2 linked regions of the Struthio camelus genome follow. The protein of the gene in region 2 interacts with the protein of the main gene of each other region in a biochemical or structural test. Links are inferred from orthologs where the notes say so. Each region holds a gene or a part of one and is shown on either strand. Other genes may lie near its edges.

What was found. The genes of interacting proteins can lie anywhere in the genome.
Region 1: the proteins of MAP1LC3C (region 2) and STK3 form a complex in vitro, tested with the Homo sapiens proteins (2 studies listed by BioGRID and IntAct). The link is inferred for Struthio camelus from reciprocal best matches to the Homo sapiens genes MAP1LC3C and STK3.

What each region holds. Positions count from the first base shown.
Region 1 is NC_090943.1:147,187,398-147,195,335, reverse strand, and holds the start of STK3 (serine/threonine-protein kinase 3), read right to left. Parts: upstream 3,039-7,938; 5' UTR 2,894-3,038; coding exon 2,871-2,893; intron 2,831-2,870; exon of another isoform or gene 2,812-2,830; intron 2,650-2,811; exon of another isoform or gene 2,544-2,649; intron 2,387-2,543; exon of another isoform or gene 1,053-2,386; intron 1-1,052. UniProt on the Homo sapiens protein: Stress-activated, pro-apoptotic kinase which, following caspase-cleavage, enters the nucleus and induces chromatin condensation followed by internucleosomal DNA fragmentation.
Region 2 is NC_090944.1:97,616,988-97,623,532, forward strand, and holds MAP1LC3C (microtubule-associated proteins 1A/1B light chain 3C), read right to left. Parts: upstream 2,634-6,545; 5' UTR 2,561-2,633; coding exon 2,494-2,560; intron 2,406-2,493; coding exon 2,350-2,405; intron 2,191-2,349; coding exon 2,084-2,190; intron 1,045-2,083; coding exon 834-1,044; 3' UTR 502-833; downstream 1-501.

The DNA.
Region 1 (7,938 bases), on a different chromosome or scaffold from region 2:
ATTGCTGCAAAAATTCTTCACCTTTGAGGTAGGTGTTCTGCTTAAAAAAAAGTAAATGAAATGATTCTGAAAAGGACTTCTTACAAGTCTTTTGCTATTGTTGCAGTACATTGCTGTTAAAACCACTAACTTTCCTTGTCTAATCATTCCAATTTAAAAAAAAAAAAAAAAAAACACACACCTACAACACCCTGGCCTGCCACATTGCTATTTTCTGAAGAACCTGTCTTAAAGGTTTGCAAGCGTCTACACCAAATTTCTGTGAGGCAGTCCATTGGCATCAGTGGTATGTTCCTTCAGAGAGGAAGGAGAAATAAAAGTGTTCTATCAAGTACAAGAACTTTGGGATTCCAGGATCTTATGGAGCTTTGAAGCGTTCATCTGAAACTCTTGCTACCTCTAAATAAGCATCTTATGCTATATATACACCATATATATATATGACATATATAGGTCCCTCTCAGTAATTGATCCTGTAGATAGAAGACACAGTAAGTAAAGAAATCTGATGATCATATCTATTTTGCCAGGTAAACATGGTGCTTCTCTTGCACCACAGCACCCATGGCAGGTACTTAGACCAAAAAAAAAAAAAAAAAAAAAGATCACTCACAAAATAATCTGCATTCTTTCCAGACTTGTAGAACAAGCATGTAGCCTAGCAGAATAGTTGGCAACACCACAAAACACTTCAAAAACTGCAAAAGACAATAGACAAAAGGGATACACGGTGCAGGCTGTATACTGTTCCAGTGCTCCGTCACCCTCACAGTAAAGAAGTTAGTAGTTAAAGTTAGAAGAACTTAGTTAGTAAAGAAGCCCAGAGGTGAGGTCCAGAGGAGAAGAATAAAGAAAAACCTAAATATAGAATAAATATTAATTATATAAATAATAAATATAAAGAAAGAAGAATATAGAAAAGCCTAAAATACAATCCACTTTGCAGCACTGTCTCTCTTGGCAGTAGCATGCTCTCTCACTACAAGTGAGGTAGAGAAAGGCAGCCTCAATGCTTTAAATAGCGATACTGTCTCTGCTTGCTTTTCCCTTACCTTAAACACTGGTAAATTTAGTTGGCTGGAAACAGATAGTTTAATAGTTATATTCACCAAGAAGAAAATCAGGGCTGTTGTCCTTCAAATTTTACTACTTCTTGCAGTTCTTCTGCAACACTGCAGTATCTACTGTCCTCCTCAGCATAAAAACAGGAGCCAGTATCTACCAGAAAACAGTATGAGTCTTCATTTTCAAAGACAGTTTCTAGCTGTCATAATGGCAAAGAAAAGCTTGAGAAGCCTAAGATAAACATATCCAAAACGGTCAAATAGTTCAAAAAGCAAAAGACTGCTAAAGCCAGTACTTCTCAAAGTCTCATAACTAGGTCAACAAAGACTGCAGAAAGTATATTGGCAAGAAATATTGTCAATAACACCAGCATGAGTTCATTTGCAAAAATGGAATTTATCAATAGAATCTCATCTAGCTCCTTCCACATTGCGTTTATCTCCAAATTAAAAATTATCTCGTGCATTTCTTTACCACCCATGTTCCTCAATGTATTGGGGTCAGCATGTCCCTCTCAGGGCTAGGAGCTTCAATACACTGAAAACAAAACAGGGCCAAACATTATAAAGCTCATCATCAGTCCTTAAGGCAAATTAAACATATACTAGGTGTCTTCTCTCACATGTTCAACTTGGAGAAGACAAAATTTTATTCTCATATTGACCACAATGCAGCTTCTGTCGTTGCCACACTACCAGGCTTGCAAATCAGGAGCCAAAGATTAAGACACAAGAAATAAAGTAGGAAGTAAAAATGGATTTATTATCTTCCAGCATAAATTTATACCGTGCAGTTTCTAGATTTTTCACTAAATTAACAGGAAGCAAGAATTTAGAACTCTTTAGAGTTCTAAAGTGGTAAGAACACATGTATGCTATATAACTACTTTCAGTATACTATCTAACTACATCTAAGAAAGGACTCTTCCAGTTTAAGTTTATCCATGTAATTAAAGAAGAATAGTTTTGTGTATGAAGACCACAGTGCTATTTTTAAAGCAAAAGCTCAGGGGTTCACATCACTGCTTAAACTCAGAAGCAAAAACTTTTTCTTGCCCTGAGAAAGACTCATATTCTAAATATCCCAAAACATGACCGATTACTAAGAATGGTTATTCCAAACAGCAACGCATACACTGGGGGAAAGAAACTCGGTTTTGCCTCTTCCCACTCCCTGATTTGCAACTGCAAGTATGCAACTCCCACCCCCACAAACACCTCTCTACCAGCAAGACAGAAGGGCACTTTCTAACGCAGGAAGACGTGAACTGCTTCTACTGGTTTCTCCCTTAGACCTGAACTATGAAATAGCACGCAGACTTTAAGGCCGAAAAGGGCCGCTCTCTAGCTCCAGGCTCACTCACTCCCCGTTAAAGTTTTCCTCTTCTAACTCAAGTCAGCGCTCGCATCCCCCGAGGGTCGCTCGGACGCGTACTCAGGACGACGATTTCGGGAGCGCTACCGCGCGCTAGCAGTTACCCGGTGCGGAGCACCGCCGCGGCCCGCGGCGGCAGCCGGGCCGCCCCTCCGCGGCCCAGAGCCCGCTACAACGACGGGACGCCGCGCAGCCGCCGCGCCCCCATTGTCCCCGCGCCCCAGCCCGCCGAGGGGCCGAGCGGGGCCCGCGCCGCCGCCGCCGCCGGCCCTGCCCGCGCACCACGCCCCCTCCCAGCGCCCAGGGCTCCGCTCCCGCCGGGCCCCGCGCCGGGCCAAGGCCGCGCCCGGCCGCCTCCCCCCCGCCCCGTACCGACGGTACCGCCGCGCTCGCTTCCGGGAGGGGCAGGAGCGGCACGCGAGGGTCGTTACCTTTTGGGCGCTGCCTGCTCCATGATGGTGCCGCCGGCTCCCGGCGCCCCCGCCGCCGCCCGGCGCGGCTCGCGGACGGCCCTGGCCAGCGGCGGGCTGGGCCCGCGGAACTCCGCGCAACTTTCCGCCAAACTCGCTGGCCCTTTAAGTGGGGCTCGCGCCCTCCCTCGGCCGCGGCCGCTCCCGGCTTCTCAGCCAAACGCCACTACCGCTGCCTACCCGCCTGCCGGTGGGGGCCCGCCCTCTCGCCCCTCTCATTGGTTACAAACCGTACCATAACAAATGCTGATTGGCTGGGAAGGAAGTCACCCAGCATGGCAGCCAGCAGGAGACCGAGACTCCGCCCACCACGGGGCCGGGGAGGGAGGGTGCGCCTCACGGGAAGTAGCGGGCGGCATGGCGCCCGCGGGAGGGGGGAACCGACATGCAGGCGGCGGCGCATGCCGGCCCGAGGCCCCGCGCTCCCGGCATGCTCCGCGCGGCGGTGCCCCGCGGGGCGCGCCGGGAGACGTAGTCTTCCCCACGGCCTCCGCGGAGGGGCGGCAGGAGGGGCCGGCCCGGCCCGACCAGGCCAAACCGAGAGCCGGGCCGGAAAGCCGGGGGGCGAGGGACGGCCGTGTCCCCCCCACCCCAGCGCAGTCGCCTCACCGCCCGGCTCCGGGCAGCCGGCAGCCTGTGCTTTTCTTCCTCATCTGCGCAAGCGGACAGGGTTGCGGCCGAGGGGCAGCCGCAGGCCGGCGCGAAGCTGCTTCCACCCCCCCCCCCTCAGGAAGTTATATCCTTTCTTCTATGGGCAAGCGGCTCCCGAGCAGAGGGGGCAGGAAGGCCGTAGTCAGTCCCGCAGGGAGCGGGAGCCGCTTTCCGAGGCTGGCTCCCGGCTCACAGCACGGCTTGGAGATGAGTAACGCTGGCAGTCGACTGTTTTTAATGCCGAAGCATATGAGTTATCCTACGAAACTGTAGGAAGCAATTATGTAATTATTCAAGAGGGTTTAGGCTGCTGAGTACTGTGTGACAGTTATCTGCAATCTCTCCCCATTACAGCTTTAAATCTCATGCTGTTTACATCGTGAGTTCAGATGCTAACTTGCAGAGCATCCAAGTAGACCCAGTCAAGTCAATACAAGAAAAGCTTAAACGTTCAAGCCAGTTCCTGTATTAATGGAAGTAAAAAACTTGGGTAAGATCTGTAAAGGTACTGGGATATTCTAGCTTCACTTTAAGCAGATTTTAGATGCATAACAAAAATAAAACAGAAAAACCACACACTAGTTTCATCTCAATGTGCATTAGCAAGGAAATTTTAAGTGACTCAAGTCCCAGTGCTACCAAAACCCACCATTTTGCCCGAGTCAGTCCAATCCAGTTGACTCACTACAGTCAGGATACATGCACAGTGGCAAGATTAAATGAACCCATAAAACAAAGCACATGCCACCATATAACCTTTGCAGTTTGTTTGTTTTTTTAAATAAGTTAAAACTGCAATAGTACATTTTCCTTTACACAGCAGGTTAATGCAGAGCTCTTCAAATATCAGTTTATAAGCCCGAGTGGCCCACCAGCAGTACTTCCAAATATGTCCATACGACAGACAACTGTTTGCAGGAGACACCAAAAATGCACACAGGAACCAGCGGATACCTCAAACTCAGTACAGTACAAGTGTATTAGAAAATGGTGGGGAGGAACCCTGCAGGACTTCCACTCTCCCGTTTCTAGGTCAAGAGAGGATAGGTAGATACGTGGCTAGTTTCCAGCTTTGTTTTACAGGCTATTTGGCTATACCCACCTGACCAATTTTTTATTATTTACATTTCACCAGTTTCACCCAGTGAAGGGTAGCCTGACACCCCGTTTGGTTATGACACACCTGGAATGCAGGGACTGTCTCCACATCCTTTAATACACATCTTTAAGACAATATTTTGTTCTGACTATTTCGGAGAAGGCAGGATTTTTCCAGCCCCCCTTCCCTCTCAAGCCACAGTCATACAAAAATACGGTTACTATGTGGTAGTGGTCAGAGCAAGACACAAAGAAAGCGAGCCAACAGGTGTTCCACGTCACAGCCACACTTGTAGCTCTTTTTCTGGAAAAAGTTAAGCTGAACAGCCTAATCTTCCACTCCCCCTTCAACAGCAGTTGAAAGGAACAGGTCTAAAGAAAACTTCACAGATTCACAGAATGGTTGGGGTCAGAAGAGACCTCTGGAGATCATCTGACCCACCTGCTCAAGCAGGGTCACCTAAAGCACATTGCCCAGGACCATGTCTAGTCAGGTTTTGACTAGCTCCGAGGCTGGAGACTCCACAGCCTCCCTGGGCAACTTGCTCCTGTGTTCAACCACCCTCACACTGAAAAAGTTTCTTCTTATGTTTAAGTGGATTTTTCCAGTTTGTGCCCATTGCTTCTAGTCCTGTCACTGGGCACCAAGGAGAAGAGCCTGACCCTGTCCTCTTAACACCCTCCCCTTCAGATACTTATACACATTGATGAGATGCCCCCTGAGCCTTCTCTTCTGCAGGCTGAACAGGCCTAGTTCTCTCAGCCTCTCCTCATACAAGAGATACTCCAATTCCTTCCTCAGCTCCACGGCCCTTTGTTGGACTTGCTCCAGTAGCTCCATGTCTTTCTTGCACTGGGGAACCCAGAACTGGACATAGCACTGCAGAAGTGGTCTCATCAGTGCTGAGTAGATGGGAAGGATCACCTCCCTCAACCTGCTGACAATGCTCTGCCTAATGCAGCCCAGGAGGCTGTTGGCCTTCTTTGATGCAAGAGGAACCCCAGGTCCTTCTCTGCCAAGCAGCTTTCCAGCCAGTTGGCCCCAGCATGTACTGGTGAATGGGGTTATTCCTCCCTAGGGGCAGGACTTCACACTTCCCTTTGTTGAACTTCATGAGGTCCCTCTCTGCCCATTTCTCTAACCTACTGAGGTCTCTTAATGGGTGCATTCAGTCGGTCATCCAGGTCGTTAATGAAGAGGCTAAACAGTATCGGATCTAGTGTCAACCCCGGGGGGTCACCAGCAGGGACTGATCTTCAGCTGGACTTTGTGATGCTGATCACAACCCTCTGAGTCTGGCAGCTTGGCCAGTTTTCAGTCCACCTCACTGTCTACTTACCTGGCCCATACTTCTTCAGCTTTTCTGTGAGGTGTTATGGGAGACAGCTTTAGAGAGGTTTTTGACACCGAGATAAACAACATCCATTGGTCTCCCCTCACCCACCAAGGCAGTCATCTTGCCACAGAGGACTATCCAGTTGGTTAAGCACAATGCCCCCTTCATAAATCTCTTGTCCAAGGGATTTACTTGTCCAGCTTGTCCAAGAAAAGCAGATTTAGAGGTTAGCACCTCCAAGTGATTTACTACCGCAGTCTCCACTTCTACAAAATACCCTGTCCACCAGATAATTGAGGAAGAAGGGAACAGGAGCATCCTCCATCTCTACTGCTGAAGACAGAACAGTTTGAAGGAAGCCAAGATGACTAGAAAATAAATAGAAAAAGTGAGATAACCTGGCTTTATAGGCTAGTGAGGAGGGCAGTGCCAAAAAATATGGACTAGTTCCATGCCTTTCTCACTTGAACAAGGCACAACTGAAACTTCTGCAACTGCCAGAATGCTTTCATGCTGAAAATAAAATGTCAATAGGAAAACAGCATAGATGCTGTAGTATTTTTCAAGATGATTTTATTAATCTCTTGTCCTTCCAAATGGTATTTTTAGCCTGGAATAAATAACATCATCTCACCTTTCCCCTGCAATGTCAATTTGGGAACCTTGCTGTGAAATATAATACTGATTCAGTATTTATTACAATACTGTACCTAGCCACTAGCAAAGGAATTTTGAAAGGGAAAACAATCTCCTACTGTCTAATTCAGGCTTTCTAATAAAGGCAAGTCTAGATGTTCTGGAGGCATGAATATACTATTAGATTGCTTGTGTCTAGACAACATGGAGATGAGGCAGTTGCAGACATTCTGCCCTAGTATTCCCATGATTTCTTCCAAGAGTGGAACTATACTTGCTCACCTTCTTGGTGGTGTTGTAAGAAAAGGTTTGATGCAGAATTTACTAAGAATTTACTAAAATTCTTAAGACTGGATAAAAACTTACTGAATTACTCTTCTTCCTTTTAAGTAGCTCATCCACTTCACCATTTTACCAGCATGCATTCACTTCTCTGCAGAACTGGCATCAACATCAAGTACAGTTCCTTAGACAAAAGGATGAATGAAGACCGTACTTAGTATTTGAGTGCTCTAATTATTTTGTATTAAAATGTAATTTCGTAAGCAAATAGAAGAATTTATATTACAACAACTATAATTATTTATACTGCAATAGAATCAGGAATCATTATGGCCTGGAGAAGTATCGGTGCTGTATAACCACTAAGTCCAAGCCCCTAAATATAGGTACGAACAAATTCCAAAACGTCAATCCTACCTCAGTTAAGACAGAATTCATAATAAAGCACAAACTGAGAAGGACAAAAGTTACTATCTGCAAAGATCATGTCTGAATTTCTAGGAGGTATTACTAATAACAAAATATAAATTCCAAATGTGTACTTTACAAACATTCATAAACATCACATAAATAAGATGTGTTATATTAGGGACCTCGTACAGCTTCTTTGACAGCAAATAGAATAAACATCCACTTCAGAAGGTATCAGGTCAGGCTCATTTACACATCGTGCATTTTAACAAATAGGTTGGTGTTTTCTAGGAAACACCAGACTTAAATCTATAGGAAAACATTTACTCTTAAGTCATGAGCACCTTATGCTCTTCATCAAACAAAATATCCCAGCTCTTCATCACATGCCTGGTGCTTCTCGCAGCCCTGCCCCCTTCTCCACGTGCTTTCTGCCCCTTGGCTACCATAGCCTCCCAGGTCCCTCTCGGCTCCTCTGTGCTCCCTCCCTTTCCCCTATTTCTTCCTACAACAGTCCCACTCGTGCCCCCACACTGAACCCCACGATACCCTTAGTGCCCTCCGCTACCCCGCACGCGCGCCCGGCTCCGGGTGCCTCGCGCCCCTGCGCAGCC
Region 2 (6,545 bases):
GGTGTGCCTCTAAGGGAAGGACAGACTACCCATCTATTTAGACCAGACTAGCAGAATTCAGTAGTAAGAGCAGACTCTTGAACAGTTGATTACACTAGAGTTCAAGTCATGCTATCTGCATTTTGGTTATACTGACTACCAATCAGTTTTGCATATTTAAACCAGAAGTTACTTTATCATAGACAATCACAGCAGTTTCAATAACACATGACAGTAGTAGTTTACTAGGTATTAAACTACACTGCGTTTGAACTCTGCTTTAGCACTAGTAGAGTCTGCTTTCTACTTGCAGGTCAGATACCAAGCTTGAACTGTTTATAAATATGGTTCTGCTCCTATGTGACCAAACTTAAGCTTCACTGTCCCATTCAGAAATGCACAGAGTTGCTGTACAAGCAATCCTTCATTTTTAAGGGGCACCGAGCTCAAAAGATTAAAGTTCATAGAATAATTCTGGTAGTCTTCTACAGTTTTTCCTCTAGAGTAACACTAACATTCAACCCAATATTTAAAAGTGTCTTTATTTTACTCTTAGGCTTAGGCTTTAAGGACATCTTAAAAAGCAGTTACAAAACAAAGGTTGGTATTGCAAAGAAAAGTGGAGGTGCAGTTTCAAAAACCTTTAGTGTCTTTAAATATAAAATATATATCCAAACTATTATCTAGTAGAGTGTACCACCATTTCTGCCTCAAGCTGGTCCTGCTGATCTCTGGGTCATTACTCCCCAGTACAGAGCTCAAGAACTCGTATTAGAAGGAGCATCTCCAAGCTTCATGTCACTGGCGTGATTCATAGCACAGCTGCTTAGCCACAGCAAGTGGACACCACCACCTTAGGTTTTTTGAAGGCATTCCATAGTTTTCCCTTGAGCAGCGGGTAAGAGGCATCCAAACATCTCCTGGGAAGCATATGTCATATACACAAAGCCATCTTCATCTTTGTAGTCCCTGTACACTTCTGCCATTGTCAGAGACATACTGGCTAGGCTTTTGTTGTTCACCAGCAGGTAGAAAGCTTGTGTAGCAGTTAAAGCCATTCTGCTTCTAAGTTAAGATGGAAGAAGGAAAAAGAGGATTAAGTATTAGCAAATTCGAGAAGGTTTCATTGTTAGTCCTTGAAATACATTACACAGACCAGTAACATGAACTACATCTAAGAAACACTGTATAAAGTCCTTTGTGGTTTAACATCTCTCATCAGCAGGAAGTTAGCTGTAGGTTTGGAAGCTAGAAGGCTTATGCTCTGAGGAGGAGGAGGCTTAAATCAAATTGTTAAACCATGACTGCTACTGAGTCTAGCCTTTGTTCCCAGTTACTGAAGAGAAGCACTGAGTGGAAACCAAAAGCTTCTGTAGCATTGCTATAATGAAATATTTCAGCATACTCTGAAATCCTAGCTATTTTAACATTTCAGTCTTTGAAAGAGGAGTCCTCCTCAGAGCTGCTTAATATGAGGATCAGGACCCCAAGTTGTGCATCTTTTGTAGAAGTTCAGATATCTAGAAAGCTCTTCTGTACTTTACAGAAACACCATATAAAAGCTATGTGATTTTCAGCACTTTGCCAGAGACAGAGATTTCTTCCCTATAGTGTTTTTGTGAAGAGCAATTTAGAAACATTAGAGCTCATGCCGCTCACACCTGTGAACTGTTATAAGCTTGAGCAAATCCAGTAAGCTACAGTAAAAAAAAAAGCAAGCCAACAACAGAGCAAGGAGGAGAACAGAACCATAGAGCTGTAGTAGCACTTGTAAGTTCTTCAAATAGAGACAGAGCAAAACAGGAGTCTGATACAATCCTTATGCCCTACAGTTAAGAGGGAAGGCTTTATACATCCAAAAGCATAGACCAGGTTCTTCCCCAAATCCACCTGAGAAAATATCTGTGGACTTTCTTCATACTCCTGCAGGAGAAGGAAGCCATTACAGAGACCTTTATGCTTTCCTCCAATACAAAGAAAGTAAATAAGTTTTTTTACAGCAGAGTGCTAAAAAAATCTGCTTGAAGACCTGCCACAGAACCCAGGAGCAGCCCCCAGCCCCACCTACGTAGTGCCACTTGCTAGCCAGGTGTTCACAACTTACCTAATGATGGTTATAAACTGTGTCATGGTCAGCTCCTCAGGAACAAGAAACTTGGTTTTGTCCAAGAGAGGAAGGTATTTTTCCTTATGGTACCTTTCAACAATCACCTGTTTTAATTAGAGTCACACTCAGAAAAATCCCTAAAATATTTAGTTCCTTTTCCCCCTCCTCCCTACCAGCATTTAAGAAAAAAAAAAGTTTTCAGCATTTCTCTTAAAAAAAAAAAAACCAACAACAACCTTTGCTAGCAAAACAGAGAGATTTACCGGGATTTTTGTTGGGAACTTCGCCCGGATCCCAGCGACTTCTTCCAGCCTAGTCGCTGCGCAAGAGAGAAAACGAGCGTTACGCGTGTGCGCAGCCCCCAGCGCCCCGCGCAGGCCCCCCGGCGCCCCCAGCTCTCCCCTTACCGAAGCTCTTCCGCAGCTTGAAGGGCCGGGAGGGGGCCGGGCCCCCGGGCGCCGCCGTCGCCTGCATGCTCCGCGCAAGCTCCGCGCTCCCGCCGGCAGCGCCGCGCTGCGCCGCCCCGCGCCTCTTATGCGGCCGCGGCGGCACCGCCCCGGCTCCGCGGCCCCCCGGCCCTCCGGCCCCCCGGCCGGGAGGGGGGCGGGGGGCTGCGAGCGGGGAAGGGCTCCTCTGGCCGTGATTTCGCTGCCCCGCTCAGGTCGCGCTGCCTCCTGCTGTCAGCCCCCTTAGCCAGGGCTTGTTTGTCAGAGCAGCTGTCCTGCCAGGTTCTCCACGCTGCCGAGGCATCTCGCCTCTTTTGGCACGTTTTCCTCTCCCGACTCCCCCGTCCCCGCGCGTTTCAGGCCAGCGCCTTCAGGAAGGAGCAGGGTGAGCTCAGGAGGGGCAGCCCGTCCCCCTCTTTGCCGGCCCCGCCACGTCTCGCGTCCTTGGGACACTCAGCTACGTGGGAGCCCCGAAACTGGGGAGCGGTGCTGTTTTTCTGTGTCCTTCACTATGAAATGTCTGTGAGGAGACGTCTTTGCCTGCCGGAGGGAAAGCTGCCGCCCTGCTATACAGTTCAGGTGTACAGCCAGACCTGCAAAAAGAGCGGGGTGCGAACCCCCTGCCGACAGGTGTTTGTGAACCTGCCTCTCCACTCTGTCATAGCAGCGTGCTGCTTATTCCTCACTTTCTTTGGTCTAAACTGCCCGAACTGGAAGATGCCGAGGCGCACAAGGCAGCAGGATGCTTTGTGAGGGGACTTTGACTACCCCTCAGGAAGCCCGCAGCTCAGGAGTGGACCATCTCTGTCCCGTTTCCCTTTTCAGATGGCCAATCTTCTGTCAGGTCAGTTACCTTCTTCATACTTACAAACTGCTTTCAAACTATTTCTTTGGGTTTAGATTGACGTTTTTCATATCTCCAGGTTACCAAACTGCTTATTTTCTGAGTAACCTGGGAAATGACTTTTAACATTGGTTTTGTCTCTACAGCATGATCATGATTTTAATGGTTTTCAAATAGACTTCAGGTCCATCTATTTGCTGAATAAGATGAGGCGCCTTACCTGCTTTTTGGTTTGCTTGCATACCTGCTATTACTTCAGCTGTCAAGATGGTTTCACAGCCAAACATGGCTCAGCAAGGAGTAAAGTTATCTGAAGACTGGTTGTTAACTACGTAAGTCATCTCAGTAAATGGTTACGACTGATCCCCATTACTCAGTTTGTTTTGCTTGTGCCTTTTTAATATAGTAGTTGCATTTTATTCAATCTATCAAGCTAAGAGCAACCCGAAGTTGCTAAGGTTCATGTGTTACTGGGTTTGGCTGCTTTTTCAAGGCAGAATCAGTAACTGTCACCTCCATACTTTTATTTCCAGTCTTGCACTATTTCCTGCTGCAACTAATTTTTCTGTTCCTAGAATTTTCTGATTATAGGAGAACCTCAGTTTTTATTTGAAAATAAATTTAGGCTTGTGAACGCATAATCACAGTAAAAAGTGCTCTGCAACACCGAAGATGCCCTCAAGATTCAGCAAACAGAATATAATTTTGAAAAGGAACATCGCTATTAAAATGTGTGCTCACTATGTATTTATATGTTATGATTTTCAACCAGCCTTTCAGAATCGTTTCCAGTGGCTGAAGTTGCTAGTGCTGCTGAGCTGTCTTTCTCTCCTGGTGGGGAAGCGAAGGGCTTTAGTCACAGCACCAGCTCCCCCATGTGGCGCTGCGCATTTAATTGTGCAGAGAAGACGAGATCCTTGCTTGGAAGAGTTTATGAGCAAGACCTCTGAACTCGGAGAGAGGACTTGAGCCCACACTGGAACGGTCTGGAAACAGCTGCTCCTCACGGGCAGACCTCTGCATCTGTGCAGACAAGTTCAGGGATTTGCTTACAGTACTGCGTCTGATTTCAGAGATGGGAAATGTGCTCAGTACAGGGACCAGCTCTTCCAAGCACTGCTATGGCTCTGCTCAGTAATCTGCTTCTTAGCACTTGCCCATTCTGTCACCGCAGAAAGAAAAGTGTGATCTTATTGCTCTGTTTCTTCACCCAGCAACCGTGTGAATTGCTCTCAAGTAGTGTAGTGAAGAAGTTGGCACCTCAGTGCCTTAGCAGTCTTTTAAAATCTTGCATTTCATTGTACTAAAATGGTTCCAGTGTGTGCAGACAGGAAGGAACATACCACACCGGTGCTCTGCTTTCTGTGCTGCCTCTCACTGCATTTGAAGTACAAAAAAGTGTTTCTGTCCAGGCCTTGCTTCCAGTGAGAAGAAATTTCTTTCCATAACCATAAGCAGCTGCTAGTGAGAAAACTGAATAGCTGATAGGAAAGGGAGCCAAAGATGGAGAATTTCTGCTGAAGCTGGTGAACAGTCATGAATCTAAGAATGAGCACAGATGCAGGCTTTAGGCAGCGTGTGCCCTAAGTTACATTATCTGGAAGCAGAGAGCAGGGGAGGTCTAGGTGTGTCGACATGGCAGCTGCGCTCACTCTTGTATTGAATAATCCTGCTTCAGACCTAAATGTGGAATTTATTCCTCCTTCTCTGCTTTCCCTTAGAAGTTTTTCTCAGATGCACAAAATTAATGAACGGGTAGAGCAATTTTGCAGAGAGTGGAATACTCAGAGGTCCATACTGGAGCAGAAACAGAAGAAGGATCAAAAGACATTGTTGCTCTATTTTTACCTGCTCGAATGCCCAAAGACTTCACTCATGAGTCCTGTAAGTCCCTGAATATTAAAGCACAAGTTTGGATATGTGTATCTTATCTATTCTACTTTCATTGCCACACTTACAGACTTGTCCTAAGTCCCAGGTTTTCGGCTGTGTAACTGAATTGTGATATATCCATTGTCTCTGTTTAGAATAAAGTGATCCCGTTTTAGTGGATCTAATCATATACACAATCTGGCTGAAAATAAGTTTGCATAAGAGCAGCAAGGAAACAGCAGGTCCTTTGCATTATCCCATTCCAGCTGAAGGCCCTAACAAAACTCGTCACACAGCAGGGATGTGATTTCGTTAGGGAATTACTCTGCCTGAGCGGGAGCGTGCAGGGTGTCAGATACCTGAGGATTCTGCAGAGTTTTAGTTTCAGTACGAACCAGCGAGCTCCTGTGAAAGACAGAACTACAGGGCATGAAGAGAGGCTGAAATAAGGTGGTAGGAAAGGCTAAACAATTTGGCATGTCCCAGAGGTGTTGCTGGAGTCTGAATATGTGAAACTGCCAGAGGGGAGAAGTGAGTCAGCTAATGACTGAGCAAATGACTGAGAGCTTTGCTTCCTGACCAAGTGAGGGGGTGCTTGTTTCATTGGCTTCCTAGTAAGTGTGAGCTTTCTATCCTAAAATTTGACTGCTTTGCCTGCCAATTCAGTTTAGTGCTTTCACGTGTTTTCACTGCTTACCTTGTCTCTTGTATTTTTTCACCCCAACTTCCTGAGTTTTTTGAAACCTGAGTAGGGAAGCAGAGTGAGAGTGATGAACACACTCTAATGCATGGCCTTTTTCTTAGTCTGTGCTGTTTAATTCATGCTCGCGTTGTTCAGAAAAAGGTCTTTATTTGGGTTAGACAAAATCCCTGAAAAGCTGGAAAAAGTACATTTCCCCAAATTGTTCCTGTTTGTTATTCATCTGTCATTCAAAACGTATGGACCCCTATGGATATGCAAGTCCCACTGTGCTAAGAGGAATATAAGCAGCTTAGAAGAAATGACCCCTCTCTAAAGAACTTAAAATCTGAATTTCCCAGATGAGATGAAATGGGATAGTTTTATGGCAGCTCCAAGAATCCAAGATGCAAAGAACTTGTGCAACAGTTTGCATACAATTTCATAAGAAGGCTGTGGCACAACAGATACCCAGTTCTAAGTTCTTGGAGTACAAATGCATTGAGCTGATCACAGGACCACCCTGCCTTTCAGGGAATTAAAAAAAAATCATTAAAAAACAAGCAGACAAATAAACTTCAGGGTTTTGTATGTGATTGCTTTTAAAAGCTATAAAAT